2 linked regions of the Lepisosteus oculatus genome follow. The main gene of each other region encodes a partner of the protein of the gene in region 2 in a complex. Links are inferred from orthologs where the notes say so. Each region holds a gene or a part of one and is shown on either strand. Other genes may lie near its edges.

Region 1 (7,881 bases), on a different chromosome or scaffold from region 2:
AAGTGTACGTGCAGAGAGCACTCGTGCTGGAGCATGCAGGTAAGAAAATAAGACGGGTTACAGCCTGGAGGAGGCGACTCGGCCTTTCTGATGACAAGCTCGGTTGCTCGTAAGTAATTGATACAAAGGTCCACCCTTTTCGCGAAGGAAGTCAGGTTGTCGGCTCTGGCAACATGACTGGGCGGCTTATTCCAGACCCCACAGCCCTTTCTGTAAATATTCCCCCCTGTAATTAGATTTAAATCCCCCTCCCATAGACGCACTTAATTTGCACTGGTGTTTTGCTGTTGATTTTGATCAATGGTCCCCGTCTTTGTCAGTGCATCGGGGAATTGTGAATACTGGAATCAAGTTCTCAATACTAGGTGGGTCGAATAGCCTCCTGCTTTGAACGTTTCTCTGTTCAAGATTAAAACGGATCCTTTCGTATAGCCTCTCGGGGCAGGTAAATAAATGTAATACCATGGCAGTGCAGCTACAGTAGCAGAAGCTGGACAAGCAATGCTGGAGTCAGGCAAAGAAATAAAACGGTAGACCTAAATCAGTATACAGAGTGTGAATACCAGGGTGTCACGTAAACGCCCCATAGGTAAGTTGTATTCATAGTAAGGGCAATTAGCACGTTACTTTACCAGTCTGAGGATGAAAAAAGTCAGATTTTGCCAGTGTATTGAAACACATAGCTGAGAGGCCACAGGTGCCTTGTGAAGAGATTCCTTAGTACTGCGTTTCCCTTGCTCGGCAGAATTTAAAGAGATTAACTTTTGTTAATTCGGAGACGGGTGATAAACACTTCTCTGTATGAAAACCTACCCAGATTAGTGAACTAAAACTAACGAATTAGTCATAATTAATACGGTAAAACATTTTTCACCTAGAAATCTACTTGAAACTAAGGGGAAAAAAACACCGGCGTGACATAAACACTTCAGATAATAAACCACGCGTTTAAAGAACGTGAAGAAAATAGCCTTAAAACATTGCGAAACCATACAATGCATCTGCAACATAATTTAATATTGTTTTTAAGCATGGCCCCGTAATAATAATAATAATAATAATAATAATAATAATAATAATAATAATAATAATATTTTTAGCAGGTTCACAATGTGTCGTGGAGCTCAGAAGCCTGTTTTTTCTACGTTATATTCGGTATTCTGGAGCGACCCACCTCCCTTTCAAATACAATCAGCAGCTTTTACAGGGTCTTTGATAGGAAATGAGCGGGTCTTCACTATAACTCAATTTATTAACATTTCATTTTCATTGCCCTCTGACTACAGGACATATATTCTCCTTATCGGTCATATGCCATTATATGCTGTGTATTACTACTACATGTCTTCTGGAAAGAATGATATTATCGGGCTTCTCGTTCACACCGACTAGAAACAAAAGCGCAACTATATTCCCGTCTGTCAGGCGCTTCAGAGGTCCTGAAAGTAGGAAACCTCCGCAAAGCCAACACCGAGGAGGCGGGATCCCGGCTGGTTTTGGTTCAGGGACAGCAGTCCGCACCGAGCAGGAGAGGGCTGCGCCTTTAAGCCGCCGGGTGTGGCCGGAGCGTGTCGGAGGGGCGCAGTCGCAGGTCCGAGCCAATCACGAGCCCCTCGGACCTTGTTTATCCACTCAGCTGCTTTTTCTCCCTGCAGGCTGAGCGCCTGTCGCGGTCTCCTCCTGTTCTGCACAAGCCAACCCTGGTTTGCATTGCGCCTCCTCACCGGACCGGACCGAGTCTGGATTCGGGGCTCCACGTCCCTGACAGCTCGGTGTCTTTATTTTATTACGCGTGGGTGGGAGGCGGGTGTCGGGATGTCTGCGACGGAGTGGTACGCTCACAAGTGCCTGGGCGACGGCGTGTTTTGGATCCAGGAGAGGTTCTACGAGTCGGGCAACAGAGCGAACATCTGGCTGGTCCGCGGGTCGCACCAGGACGTGGTGATCGACGCCGGCCTGGGCCTCAGGAGCCTGCCGGACTACCTGCGCGCCAAGGGGCTGCTGGGCGAGGAGTCCGGCCGGAAGAACCCCCCGCTGGCGATCGGGACCCACGTCCACTTTGACCACTCGGGCGGGCTGCACCAGTTTCGCCAGGTGGGGGTTCACAGAGCCGAGGCCGACGCGCTCGCCACGGGGGATAACTTTGAGATGGTGACCTGGCTGTCGGACGGCGAGATCGCCCGGGCTCCGACACCCGGCTGGCGGGCCAGCGAGTTCAGAGTGCAGGCTGTGCGACCCACTCGCGTACTGCAAGAAGGTGAATATCTCTAGCACATATAGGCATGCACCAGAGCCGCTTGTGCGTGAAAGGGACGGCGACGGTGCGGTGCGTGGTCATATTGCGCGTTATGATAAGGTAAACTAATGCCTTACCGTTCCGGACACCGGTTTTCAACAAGTGGCGAAAAATACCCGTGGCATCTGCTTAATTAACAGCAGAGTTACACAGAGGCCGTCTCGCATTAGCAGGGCTAATCTGTCGCCCTGCTGGAGGTACGTTCAGCGTCTCTCGGCCCGACGGAGTGAGCTTTAAAGACGCCATACGGCGAGGAAGGTGGGGGAGGGCGCAGGCTGCGCTCTCGTTTTTCCGGTGTCGCATCGAGAAGACGAGCTTGAGTATTATCAAAAACTAAACATAGGTTTCCACAGACGTGCGGCGTTATATCTCTAATAAACTATTTCATTAACGTTGTTGCTTGGGGGTATTTTTTGTAAACGGAAAAGATATCCAGAACACAATCTTGCGCTCGGTGTATTTATGCGATCTGTGCCTTTCCGATTGATTTGGACGTTTAGGGCTCATAGCCAATGAAGCAAATAAAAGCATTGGTACCGGGTCGAAGTACTCCTGTACCACACACTGCTATTCTAGACGAGCAATGAGAAAATTGCGTTAAGGAGCGTAATCGGTCCCAAATCCGATGAACTGCATCTCTACAGATTCATCCGCCTCCTTGATTCGTTACAAGAAGGATGACAGACTGCCTGCACTATAGTCACAATCTTCCACCCCCCTGAAGACACCAGAGAGGGAATAATACTGTATCTCCAACTAGCAGCGCTCGGGGGGTTGAAACGGCCTCTTCGCTCTGCTGCTGGTTCCGCGCAACACTGTAGCCCAAAAGTTTGTCAAAGCACGGCGGTGCAGAAAAAAACACGTTCCCAATTAAATATCCTAGACTCTCTGAGAGAACTATATCTCTGGGGTTACGGGGAGATACTACTGGAATAACTGCACGTCTGCCTTTATTATTCCTAACCAGGAGCTGGTTATTGCGCAGTGAACAGGTGATCGCGCCGTGGCAGTGGGGTGTTTTGGGGGGTGTCCCGGCGGGACTGCGCAAGTTCTGTGGCGTCCCTCGTCCGGGCAGACCGGGACAGGCGATGTCGGGCCGCTGTGGATCGATTTCAGCCAGTTCCGGTAACAGAGTAACTGGACCTGGGAGACTCTGGCCTGATATTTTCGCACATGACCTTCACAGCAGCGCTTTTGTTCTGTCCTCTCACTGATACTTCAGTGATCCCACTGTTGGCACAGTACGATTCGGCACAGCTCTTCTCACACCCAGCTGCAGGACACCGACGTTCCTGCTGAAAGAGACAAATCTGCAAGCGCTGATATTTCTGATATATATCAGAAATTATTTCTGGTATATGGGGAGCCTACATGAGTTTATTTCACTTACAACGGGAAACGTACAAAATGACGAGAGTCATTGTCAAAACCAGTACAGTTTGCAATGTGACCATGGGTTTGTATAGAAGTGGCATTTTTATAAAGCTTTTGGGAGATACACGAAAGAATGCACTAACCTTTACACATATTCAGACGTTAGACTTGAGGTCAGTCTCTCATGCCTTGACCATTCTGCCCTTCTATTATAAGCAGAAAACTAGTGAAAGACTTGGACACTTTGAAAATACTCTCAGCAGGGTTCAATCTGAGATGTCTACTACCTTGCAACCCACATACTGTCTTCAGAAATACATTAATTCATTAATTTCACATGCAGTGTTTAAAAATCCTCAAAAACGAAATCAAAGTGGACAAGAAGGCAGTAATTAGGATTTTAAGAAAATGAACTGGAAGTGAAAATTAAGTTTGCATGCAAGTAGCTGGTAAAATAACAACTAGTAAAATGGAAATCCTTTACTGTGGATAGTAAGCTGTTCTTCCTGTACCTTATATTCACAACATGAGAGAGTGTGAATGAGGAAAGTGCCCAGCTGTGATACCGTGACATCAGTATTGCACATCTTCAAAGCAGCAGTTGCTGTAAAAGTCTTTTCTCTTAATGAACTAACACATCTGAAATACGTGACTTGGCTGGGACCCACTCGGAATAGCTTCTCCTGTAGAAAGACAGACAGAGCCTACGGCTGCTCTACTAGATTGTGGAACCTGAGATGTGGAAAAAATATCCCTGCTTTAGATGGAAAGGAAAAGTGACATCATGTTTTATTGACACTAATAGGGAAAACTGAGGGATATTGATTATCCATAGAATAACCATCCGTAGTTCCTAGCCTTAAGCAGCCTCCATTTTCCCTGAGATGACTCAAACTTTCCCAGGGATTTTCTTCCAGCGTGTCCGTGAGAAGTTTCACAGCCCACCAGTAATATTAAAGGGGGACTGTAACATTATTTTCATATTTCGGGGTCAGCATTGATGTACACAGTAACTGGTAAAACCTCCAATTGACATCACAAAATACATGAAATTTCCAGGTATGTGCAGTGCCCTGTCCTGCCATTCACAACGAGGCAACAAAACTTGTGGTGAGATGATGTGGCCCCATTACGTTGTAAATAAGCCGGCTTGTGCATACAGCTCTTTTCATCCGATAGAAATATTGTCTCAACTTCGAGACAGTTTTGCAGACAAATACTGCTTGTTAGCTCTGCATGGGGATCACGCTGGAATAATTCTGCGGTGAAATGTCGGCTGCGCTACCTGTACTTATTCGCTCGTACATCGCATTGCATTGGTCAGGGCAGGAACTAGTGAGCAGGAAGGGCCGGTTCACGTTGCAATTCTTGGGGACTCGAATAAGTTCCCAGGGGTCTGCCACAACACGGCGACTCCGAATGCACGGTTTTGTGCTTACTTTGAAATTTGTGAGTTTTCTTCTGTACTGTCGATTGATTTAGTTTGTTACAGGTAGGTAGGTCCTTTTACAGGCCATAAAGGCCCATTGGGGATAGGGGGGCAAGGGCCACCATTTTTCTTGACCATCCGACACTGGAGGTGATGTGGTCAGCATCACGCTCCGGCTGACCGATTTCCCCCGGAAGGATTAACCCCGGTACTCGCAGGTTGAGCGGAGCTGGGAGCCGTCTGGAAGGAATTAGGGCAAGCTACATCGCTTAACCCTACCTGGGATTGAACCCGGGACCTTCCGGTCAGGAGCTAGACGCCCTTGCCGTCTGCGCTACCACGGCTCCGAGTTGTTCTAGAGGTCTGAGAAAGTGGGACTGCAGTTCTCCTTGAAGAAGGTGCTCTTGCTGTTTCCTCAGGAGACGTCATTAACCTGGGCGACAGGCAGCTGTCGGTGCTGCACATGCCCGGCCACTCCAGAGGCAGCATCTGCCTGCACGACAGGGACCGCAAGATGCTCTTCAGCGGGGACGTGGTGTACGACGGCTCCATGATCGACTGGCTGCCGTACAGCAGGGTCAGCGACTACGTCTCCAGCTGCGAGCGGCTGGTCGAGCTGGCGGACGGGGGCCACGTGGAGCAGGTGCTGCCTGGCCACTTCAACACCTTTGGGGCCGAGCGGCTGTACCGCATCGCCTCCAGCTACATCGCCAGCGCGGGAGGGTGCCACCGGTTTTCCATGTGTGCCCTGAAGTCCGTCGCAAGCCTCGTTCTCCGTGCCTGCAATTCTAGACACGGGTGTTGACTGGGAAAGGCAAACGGCTGCTTTATACGTTTACAGTATTTTGTTTATGCTAACTGTCTCAATTGATGAAATGTGTTCGTAAAATTTAGCCCAGTACTGCAGTTGCACTAATTTTGACTTTGAAATGGTAATTATTGCACTAGTTTTGATTCTTAAATGTGTGCGTGTTGCAAATGCAATGATTTGGGTTTGCACATGGATGAGTGTATAGCTTTAAGCCTCGAGGTACAAAGAAACATACTTGAAGCACGTTTGCATTTTTTTCTGTAGCTTTCCAAAGCATGAAACGAGGAGTGGCGGAGCACATATCATTTGCTGGGAATTTCGTCTTCACGTGAGACATGGAGAAGCAAGTTTTTATTTTGGCTGATGCTGGTTTGCTGTTGTGGAAGATGGAATGATCTCACTGATGCGTCCATCATCTGGTCTCCGTGGCCGCTGTGTGTCCAGAGCTCCGTGACGCTGGACAGGACCCTGGTGTGCCTCTGGGCTCATGTTCATACACATGGGGCAGTTTAGAGATGATAATTTACCTGGGCAGCATGTTTACTGGGGTGGAGAGGAAAGTGTTCAGAGAACACGACAACAGGCCCCACAGGTGGACTGTTCACTCACACAAAGCCAGATTTGAACCCAGATCCTTGGAGCTGTGAAGTGAGGGCACAGTCCACTGCTCCAGCATGCTGCCACTCATACCACAGTATCATAAGCAAAGACAAGGACTTTTTTAAAGCACTTGTAGGCTTTTGACTGGCTTAGTGGCAATTCAGGGTGGTTTACCAACCCAATTTTATTCAGTTAAGAATGATTCTTTCAGATTCTTTCTGTTTTGTATCTCTGTGCAATCTTGATGCTGAGTTTCAAATTTTGAGTGTTTAACTTCAACTTAACTTGTGTTTCCCTGGATGACGCGAGAAGGCAGGTGGTCATAATTGCTAGAAAACCTGTCCTGTGCTGTGATGGGGGTAAACTTGGACACTTGGACACCTGACCCCTGAGCTTACTTTTGCCCTTTTTCCACTTAAAGTAGAGCTTCACCCCTCTTGTTTTTGAATGTAGGTTAGTTAAAGGGAATTTTTAGTTCTTCTCATAAGAAGGCACTGATTTTTAGTAGATGACTTTAAAACATTAAAACAGTATTTCTAACCATTCCAAAGAATCCCACAGTACTTTACTAATGAGAGAATTGACTTAAGGAGGACATGTTGTGTAAACGCAGCGTGGAGTTTAGGAAGGACTCCTTCTCTCAAGCAGAGCTATGGGATCTGTAGTGACTGTGTAGTCTGAACGTCAGTTTAATTGTTTAATTCAAACACCATCTCCTATAGCACGGTGTCCCCGCAAACTGAGGAACCGGTTTGAGAATTCAGGTCCAGAGGAATCGGCACCACCTACTGGTCTTCTAACATCTCTTAGAGCAGCTGTTTTTCTTTTAGAGGGCATGCCCATACTGACCTGGCCCAGGCTCACTTAGCTTCTGAGATGTGTCAAGAACACTGTCACACACTTAATTATACAGCAGAGGACAGTTTGAGCATTGCAATATTTGTTTTTTCAGATCTGGAATTCAGTAACATGCAAAGATCATGCATGTTTGTGAGCATTAGTTGCAAAATCACATTTATTCTTACTGGCCACCTTGTTTTTGTGCTGACACTTCTCTCAACAATCGTCTGAATTTAACTTTCTGAGTCACCATCTTTGTGTTACGAAAATACCTTTCTTGAGCTTTGACCAAAGCCAGTTTTTATGCGGACTTCTAAATATACTTACATGCATTGTGGCCAGTTGAGAGGTTCAGCTGGTAAAGGCTCTTGCCCTAGGGCAGGTGCTGCTCTTTGAACACGGGTTCAAGCCCGACAGAGTTTTGGCACACTACTGGCTCTGCTGAGCACCACCAAGGGGAGGGTGGGGCTACTTGGCCAGGGCACTTTTGGCTCTTGGCGACCTATGTGGCCTTCTGGGTTCGTACAGACA
Region 2 (7,012 bases):
ACATACTGCAGTCCAGTTTTTTTTTACATTTAGCTCCTGAAATACATTGCGTATGACATCCACTACAAAACATCCTGCTACCTAACACTCTGTATTACTCAAACAAGCACACTAACTTTCACATTAGCTACTCAAGCCCAACTAATTAACCTTACACAAACTTGATGTTGTAAATGGAAAGTTACCCTTGGATGAGATCAGTGCCAGAAGGATGGGGGACTGTTAATTCCTTACCTTCGTGCAGCAAAGATTATGTGGTCAGCCCTGATCTGAAATAAAACCACTCTTCAGATCTGATTTGAGAGAGACCGCAGTGAATTCTTTTCGTCGTCTGTAGTGGATGATGGATCCCTCAGGAACACTGATTACAAAGTGAAGCGAGCCTTGTATTTCTCTCTCTCTATTTCACTATCCTTCTCAGTTGCCCAGCAGCTCTGTCAAAACACTGCGTGCTTCAGTGCTGCATAGCTGCATTGCCCAAATTTGCACCAATCTCACTGCTATAAACATGTACACACGCACATACAAGCACACAATCAAGAGAACAGCTCCCCTAACCTCTATCAATGCCCCCCCCCCACCACCACCACCCCCACTCACAGTGCCCTGGCCAATGAGCCAATGAGCTCTCTCCTGTGCTCATATTTACAGTATCAGATAAACCTTATAACAGTTTATAACACAGAGGTAACAAAATAACAAACACTATTATGCAATTTGTACTTATTGTCCAAAACTGCCATCTTATCAGCATTTGAAAGATAATCTATATCAGTGGTGGGCAGGAATAACAGGTACCCCATTTTTTTTTACATAAATGTGGACCCAGCCTGAATCAAATTCAGTCCAGGCTAGAGGCTCCACTGCCAGAGTCCTGAGAGGCTAACCAGATGCTACACCATATGGAGATCTCTATAGGAAACTCAAAATCCATACAGTTAACTTAGTTTCAGCTACAGTTAAGGCCAGTATTGCATTGGATACAATATGTGTGTTGCTGTAAGGTGTTTTTCTATGAAGTATTTATCTGTGTCCCTCTTCTCTGCCTTCTTTTCCTGTTCAAAGTATATCCAAATTGGGGAAAATCCCATGTACTGGGGCTCTGAGGCCGTAATTCAGCTCCTTTCAGATAACATCATTCCCTACTACATCTCCAACAGCAAAAGATCAAACAACCAACAGAGTACAGGTTACGTGTCATAAGAAAACCAAGTACAAGTGCTTTGAGAAAGACTGAATGTAAGTGATTGGAGAACTACTCAAACTACAAATAACTTCAAATTAACGCACGGCGATTTGACAGCCCACTCAAAATGGTTTAAGACAGTTTTCTGAGAAAATCTTTTTATAGCAATAATGGTTCTTCTAATGGTATTATCAGAATTGTTTTGTATTATTATTATTATTATTATTATTATTATTATTATTATTATTATTATTATTATTATTATTGACCATAGACTGTTTCTGATTGTAATGCAATATGCACGTCTATGCAGGGGGAATAGCGATTAATCTAGGGTGTAGTTTGGAGTCACTGTGTAAACTTTACCATAAAAATTCGCTACGATAACAGTTTATCAGCGATGTGCTCAAGAGAGCGTATAGGCAATCGTGCTCACGTTATTGACAGCGTAGTTCAGCATAACCATCCAGCCGCAAGTGATAACATCGCTGAACCTCGGCAATGTCTCATCTCTCCCCTGCCGGCCGCGGTACACCGAACTCATCAAAGGCAAATTAAACCATCTGTCTTTGAACGGCCGTGACAGGAAGGCAAGGGCGAAGCTGGGGCGAGAGATCCTTGGACTCAGTCAGTTCGAATTTGTCTGCAGTCTGTACCCGTGGTGCAGATTGGGACCGACAGGGATCGTCAGCTATTAGCACTGCGGCAGCTCCGAAATTAATCCGCCTAGAACATTATAAAACAAGTGGCTAAATTAGACATTGGAGCTTGTTGTTGGGCTAAAAAGACAAACGATGAATAGCTGAACGATAAACCACGGATAACAGTCAAAATGCCCTGTTCTTGTCATAGAAATAAGGCAGCGTCTGAGTTTCTAACATGTTGAAATTCGCAAATACTTGTGCCTACAATTACTGTACAGTATGTCTATTAAATTACTGATTCCTGAGTAAGGCGAACAGGTCTTTAGCAAGCAATGCGGTATTAGTCTTATTGTGGTTAAATGTGTGGTGGCTACAATACGCTCTACGCATTGCAAAGCACAAATACGAACATTTGAAAGATAATTATGATATACAATTATGATGTCTCAGTAGTAGAATATTAACAGAATAGCTTTCTGTGTCATAATTTAAACCTGCAGGGCTTTGTTTTGCATCATCATCATAATAATATATGCCTAGAAAATTACATAACGAGTGTATAGGCACCTTAATATGGGTATCAAGATAATGTGGAGTGTTAGATTGCAAAAACATACTGTAGCCTTGATGCAGATTATCATTGAGGGCCAAAGTGTGTAAATCCTGATTATTTAGGTATTGCAATTCTGACTTTTCATTATATTTTATTCTTTATAGTTTATGTTTGTAAATAACACAAGAAAGACAGTAGACAACATATTACTATAATGTAATAATAGTTGAATCCTCTTCTGTCATCCTCTGCATTCATTACATACTATTATCAACAATTTGCCTACATTTTATCAATGATAGTAGGTTTCATTAAATTAAGACTCAGTAATCTGTTAATTGAAGGAAATCCACTAAGACTGTTTTTTAAAAAAATAGTTAAAAATCAGGAAATGAGTGAAAGACAAAAAAGAGCACTAATGGAAGATTCACACTGAAAATAAATATAAAGACAATGAAAATGAAGTTATCACATATAACTACAACAAATTTGCATAGTTTTTAAATGTGCTGACTTTTTTTTCCAGAAACATAGGTAAATTAATTATTCTGATGATCATTTGCTACCAAGAGTGGGTTGTACTGCAAAACTCACAGGCTAGTAGTGTGTGTGGCCACAGACCATACAAGCTGACATTCTGTGACGCATGCTTTGCAGAGCAAAGCAAAATCACAAGGCTGCAGTTATGGCCTTGTGGGATTCTGTGCCAATCCCTCTTGCAGATCCTTTAAGCCACATGGCTGTTCACTGGTCTCTGAACTCCAGTTCAACAATCATCTATAACTGTCTCTGTTCAACTGGGCACAAACGTTCAATGAGGTTCACATCTAGTGTGGGAATCCCAGGCGTTACAGTCACATTTTCACCTTGCCAGAAAGCCATTGTTATATGAGTAGTTTGAGGACATACATTGTCCTGTTGGAATGTTGTCAAGACAGGATGTACCTGTAGGAAACGCAGTAGGAAAGTGGGGTCCCACGACTTAATCAGTTAGATTGCTGTCAGACAGAGTTCTGAAGTAATAATAATAATAATAATAATAATAATAATAATAATAATAATAATAATAATAATAGATGTGACTAGATACTCCTGTCTGGACCTTCACTCTTGGTCCTCTGCATCGATTGGTCTGTTGTGCACTACAATAAGTGTGTCAGCTTGCTGACATTAATCAGAGTGGTCTACACAAAACCTTGAATAGTCTTTAAAGAGAATTTGGCTTCATTGCTGGCAAGGTGCTATATAAATTTTCTAGAGAGTGGTACACGCCATATGTGTTACAACAAATATATAAGAGGTGCATATATAATAAACATTACAATGTCATAAATATTACAAGGTAGAAGTGTACATTTGTCGTTGTATAATGCAAAACAATATAGTAGGACACATCGTAAACATAGGAATATAGATCTCCTACACAGTATCAAACGTATTTCATAGGAAACTTTACTTGACCTTAAGGCGATTCACACATCCCCACATTAGGTGGCAGCACCATACAAGAGTGAGGAAATTTTGCATACCACTTCATTGAAAGAACAACTCTTCTTTTGGTTTGCCGACATGGCTGCTCAATTTTTTTCTGATGAGATACACAACCTGAGCAACCTGTGTGATCTAGTGACGAAATTGCTGAGAATTTTAACTTCAAAAGGTACAACCTTATCTCAGCAGCGGAACGGTAGTGTAATTTGAACAAAACTATTCTAGAAACAACATTGCCCTTACAAACATGGTGGCTAGCACAGGCGAGCAAGGTGAAAGTTCAAAGGGAAAAGTCCAACATCAGTCTGTCATGGTGGTTTTTGCATGAGTTAGGTGTATGTGTGACTCAGATTGTAAAAAAAACCCGACAAAAATAGTGCATTTCAGCTGGTGACGATTTATTTTCAGTATCATTTGTACTGGTTTTGTATCTGAAATACATTTGGAAGAGAAGTCTTTATCGTTTTCTTTCCAGTTCAGGTAAATGAAGTGATTTACATGTGTAGCCAGCTTGTTGTATATGTAACAGGATCGAGCGAGTTCAAGTAGATGGCGAAAAGCGAATTCATTTTAAAATTTTCATCACAACGTTATTTGCTGTTCGTGTAGTACTCTTTCGTTGGCCGAAGAGCTCCGCAGAAGAGAGCGGAGTGAAGTTAGTGTATGGTACTGTAAGGTTTTCTAGTCCTGGACAGGACGAGGCCAGGAGAATAGTCTCAGTGAAAGTTTCACTTTAACTAAAAGATCACGTCTTCGGTCAGTTGCCTCATTTTTAACAGTTGCCCAATCGATTATCCTTGTTGCTTTTCAGAACTAGAGTTACAGACCTCTCCTGTTAGTGGCTGACTATAAATTTCATCATAAATATTTTTCTAAAGATTAAGTACAAATTAGAATTTGTGCTACGTGGATCACACTGATGTGTTTGAGGATGCGCATCACATGAGCCCCTTTTTCTCAGCGACTGGTCATTTCTTTTAATGGTGCCATTGTGGCAAAGTGAATTGTTAGTAAGGAGTTCCTCACGCCTGTTTCTCAGTCGCTCTTATTCTCCATCTTTTCTCTGCTGCAGTGGTGTGATTGTGCAGCGATGTCAGACCCTTGTGGTGGGGATCCCTTGCCCCCAGGGGTGTCTCGGCCTGCGCTGCCCGGAAGGAGACTCCCTGCCCCTGTTGTGACGGGACGCCTGCCCTCCATGCGTTCTCGCGACCTCACCCTGGGGGGTGTGAAGAAGGTAGGAGTGAATAGACAGAGCATGCAGCTCCCCAATTACATAGCAGATTGGTCAGAGACAGATTTTATGAGGTGCAGTGCCATCTGGACTGATGAAGTTCTTGGATGTGTTAATGTAGGTGCAGTAGAATCGAGTGGAGCTGTGCTAATCAAAATACTAACTTTAATATTTCTTGCAACATTTTAGCAAGTGAAATATTCCAGTTGCTTTGCAACAGTTTTCTGAATAAATAGCTGAAGGCATCTTTGGGGTAAGCCTGTCATATGCAGTGTCTTGCACTTCTCCGACCAGTATATTTTTGACGCTAAAAAAATTGTGAGGTGTCCTGTTATGCTTCACTTGGCATCTGGGGGTGAGGGGGCAAAGCAGGAACATTAAGGATCTGCGCCTGTGACTGTAAGGTTGCCGGTTCAAATCCCGCGGCTGGCAGAGGAATCCTACTCCGTTGGGCCCCTGAGGAAGGCCCTTAACCCTAACTGCTCCAGGGGTGCCGTACAATGGCTGACCCTGCGCTCTGACCCCAAGCTTCACTCCCTGTCTGTGTGTCTGTGTCTCCATGGAGAAAAGCTGGGGTATACGAAAAGACGAATTCCTAATGCAAGAAATTGTATAGGGCTAATAAAGAAACATTATTATTATTATTATTATTATTATTATTATTATTATTATTATTATTAAACTGTTTTTCTGATGAGTTTAAAAATCTGTTTCATGTCCTTCTGGTAAAGAAGGTTGAGAACATAAAGTCAACTAGATCTAGGTCTACATATTAGTCTACTAATAGGTGACTGTGACTGGTAATTTAGTGTTGATCTCGCATAATACCTGAACATTCATAGTATATATTTTACCTGTTATAAAAATGCTGCATGGCAATTTTAGTGTCACATGTACTATCTGTTGCCTAAGAATCCGGAAAACCAGGAATGCTAAAGAAATTTCTAAACTTTCAAGCATTCAGACTTTTGACTTTTGTTATTTGTCCCATTTTTATTTGGTTGCTGTTGGATGAGTTTTAGATGGCATAAATCTCAGATGTCACAGGCCCAATCAGTGTCTTTTTTTCTGTATCTTACAGAAAACTTTCACCCCCAATATCATCAGCCGCAAAGCCAAGGAAGAGTAAGTAAATTATCTTTTATAGACAAGTACCACTAGGTCTCTTCCACAGAGTTCATAATGAGAACTAGGCCTAAATGGAAAAAAAAAATATTATAGTCAGATCAGCCTTCACTGGTTTGTTGTATATTTTAAGTACTTCATCTGTATTACATTTTTTTTTCAATCTAAAAAGCTTAGCAAAACATGAAGAAAGACTCAAGTCTAGTAGCAAACTTGCATTTGCAAGCATAATTTAACATTTTTGGTTAGAGTGAATCCAGTGTCTATGTGCATGTTGTCTATCTATCCACAAAAGCCTGTGATTTTACAATGACAACCACAAAACAGAGCCAGTACCAAAATAGCATTGTTTGCGAGGCTGGACTTATGAATTATGCAGGGCGTGAGAGGGCAGGAAGTTCAGACAAGATGGCAGCCTTTATCTGGACTACATGACCCAATAAACTGGGGGGACAGAGCTGCTGTCCTCAGTCACCTGAACAGTTGTTGTAAGAGAGGTGGTCATACAACAGTTTAAAAGCAGGAAGCAAAGGCTTCCAGGGTTGGTCATATCTGCTGTCTGGAGGACAGACGGCAGAGCTTCTGAGATACAAACCCACAAGTTCCTTTTACCCCTCGGTCTGTCACATCCATCTCCCTTCTCTCTTGCTGCTTGGAGGGACTGCCTAGGCCTAGACAGTGGAGGAGATTGGTACTATTAACAAGGGAGGAAAATCCTTTCTTTACTGTGTGTTGGGAAGTGTTTGGGTACATGATGTCACCACTGCATTTCTGCATTCCAA

Evidence for each region.
Region 1: polr3d (region 2) and polr3g share a complex: the UniProt entries of both Homo sapiens proteins name them as parts of the RNA polymerase III complex. The link is inferred for Lepisosteus oculatus from reciprocal best matches to the Homo sapiens genes POLR3D and POLR3G.

The regions. Positions count from the first base shown.
Region 1 is NC_090698.1:72,665,355-72,673,235, reverse strand, and holds the start of polr3g (DNA-directed RNA polymerase III subunit RPC7), read right to left. Parts: upstream 3,097-7,881; 5' UTR 2,374-3,096; intron 2,258-2,373; coding exon of another isoform or gene 1,816-2,257; exon of another isoform or gene 1,456-1,815; intron 1,025-1,455; exon of another isoform or gene 1-1,024. Other genes in the region: acyl-coenzyme A thioesterase MBLAC2, read left to right, coding at 1,816-2,257, 5,519-5,904. UniProt on the Homo sapiens protein: DNA-dependent RNA polymerase catalyzes the transcription of DNA into RNA using the four ribonucleoside triphosphates as substrates.
Region 2 is NC_090697.1:62,943,071-62,950,082, reverse strand, and holds the start of polr3d (DNA-directed RNA polymerase III subunit RPC4), read left to right. Parts: upstream 1-3,936; 5' UTR 3,937-4,043; intron 4,044-4,153; exon of another isoform or gene 4,154-4,354; intron 4,355-4,946; 5' UTR 4,947-4,964; coding exon 4,965-5,108; intron 5,109-6,186; coding exon 6,187-6,230; intron 6,231-7,012. UniProt on the Homo sapiens protein: DNA-dependent RNA polymerase catalyzes the transcription of DNA into RNA using the four ribonucleoside triphosphates as substrates.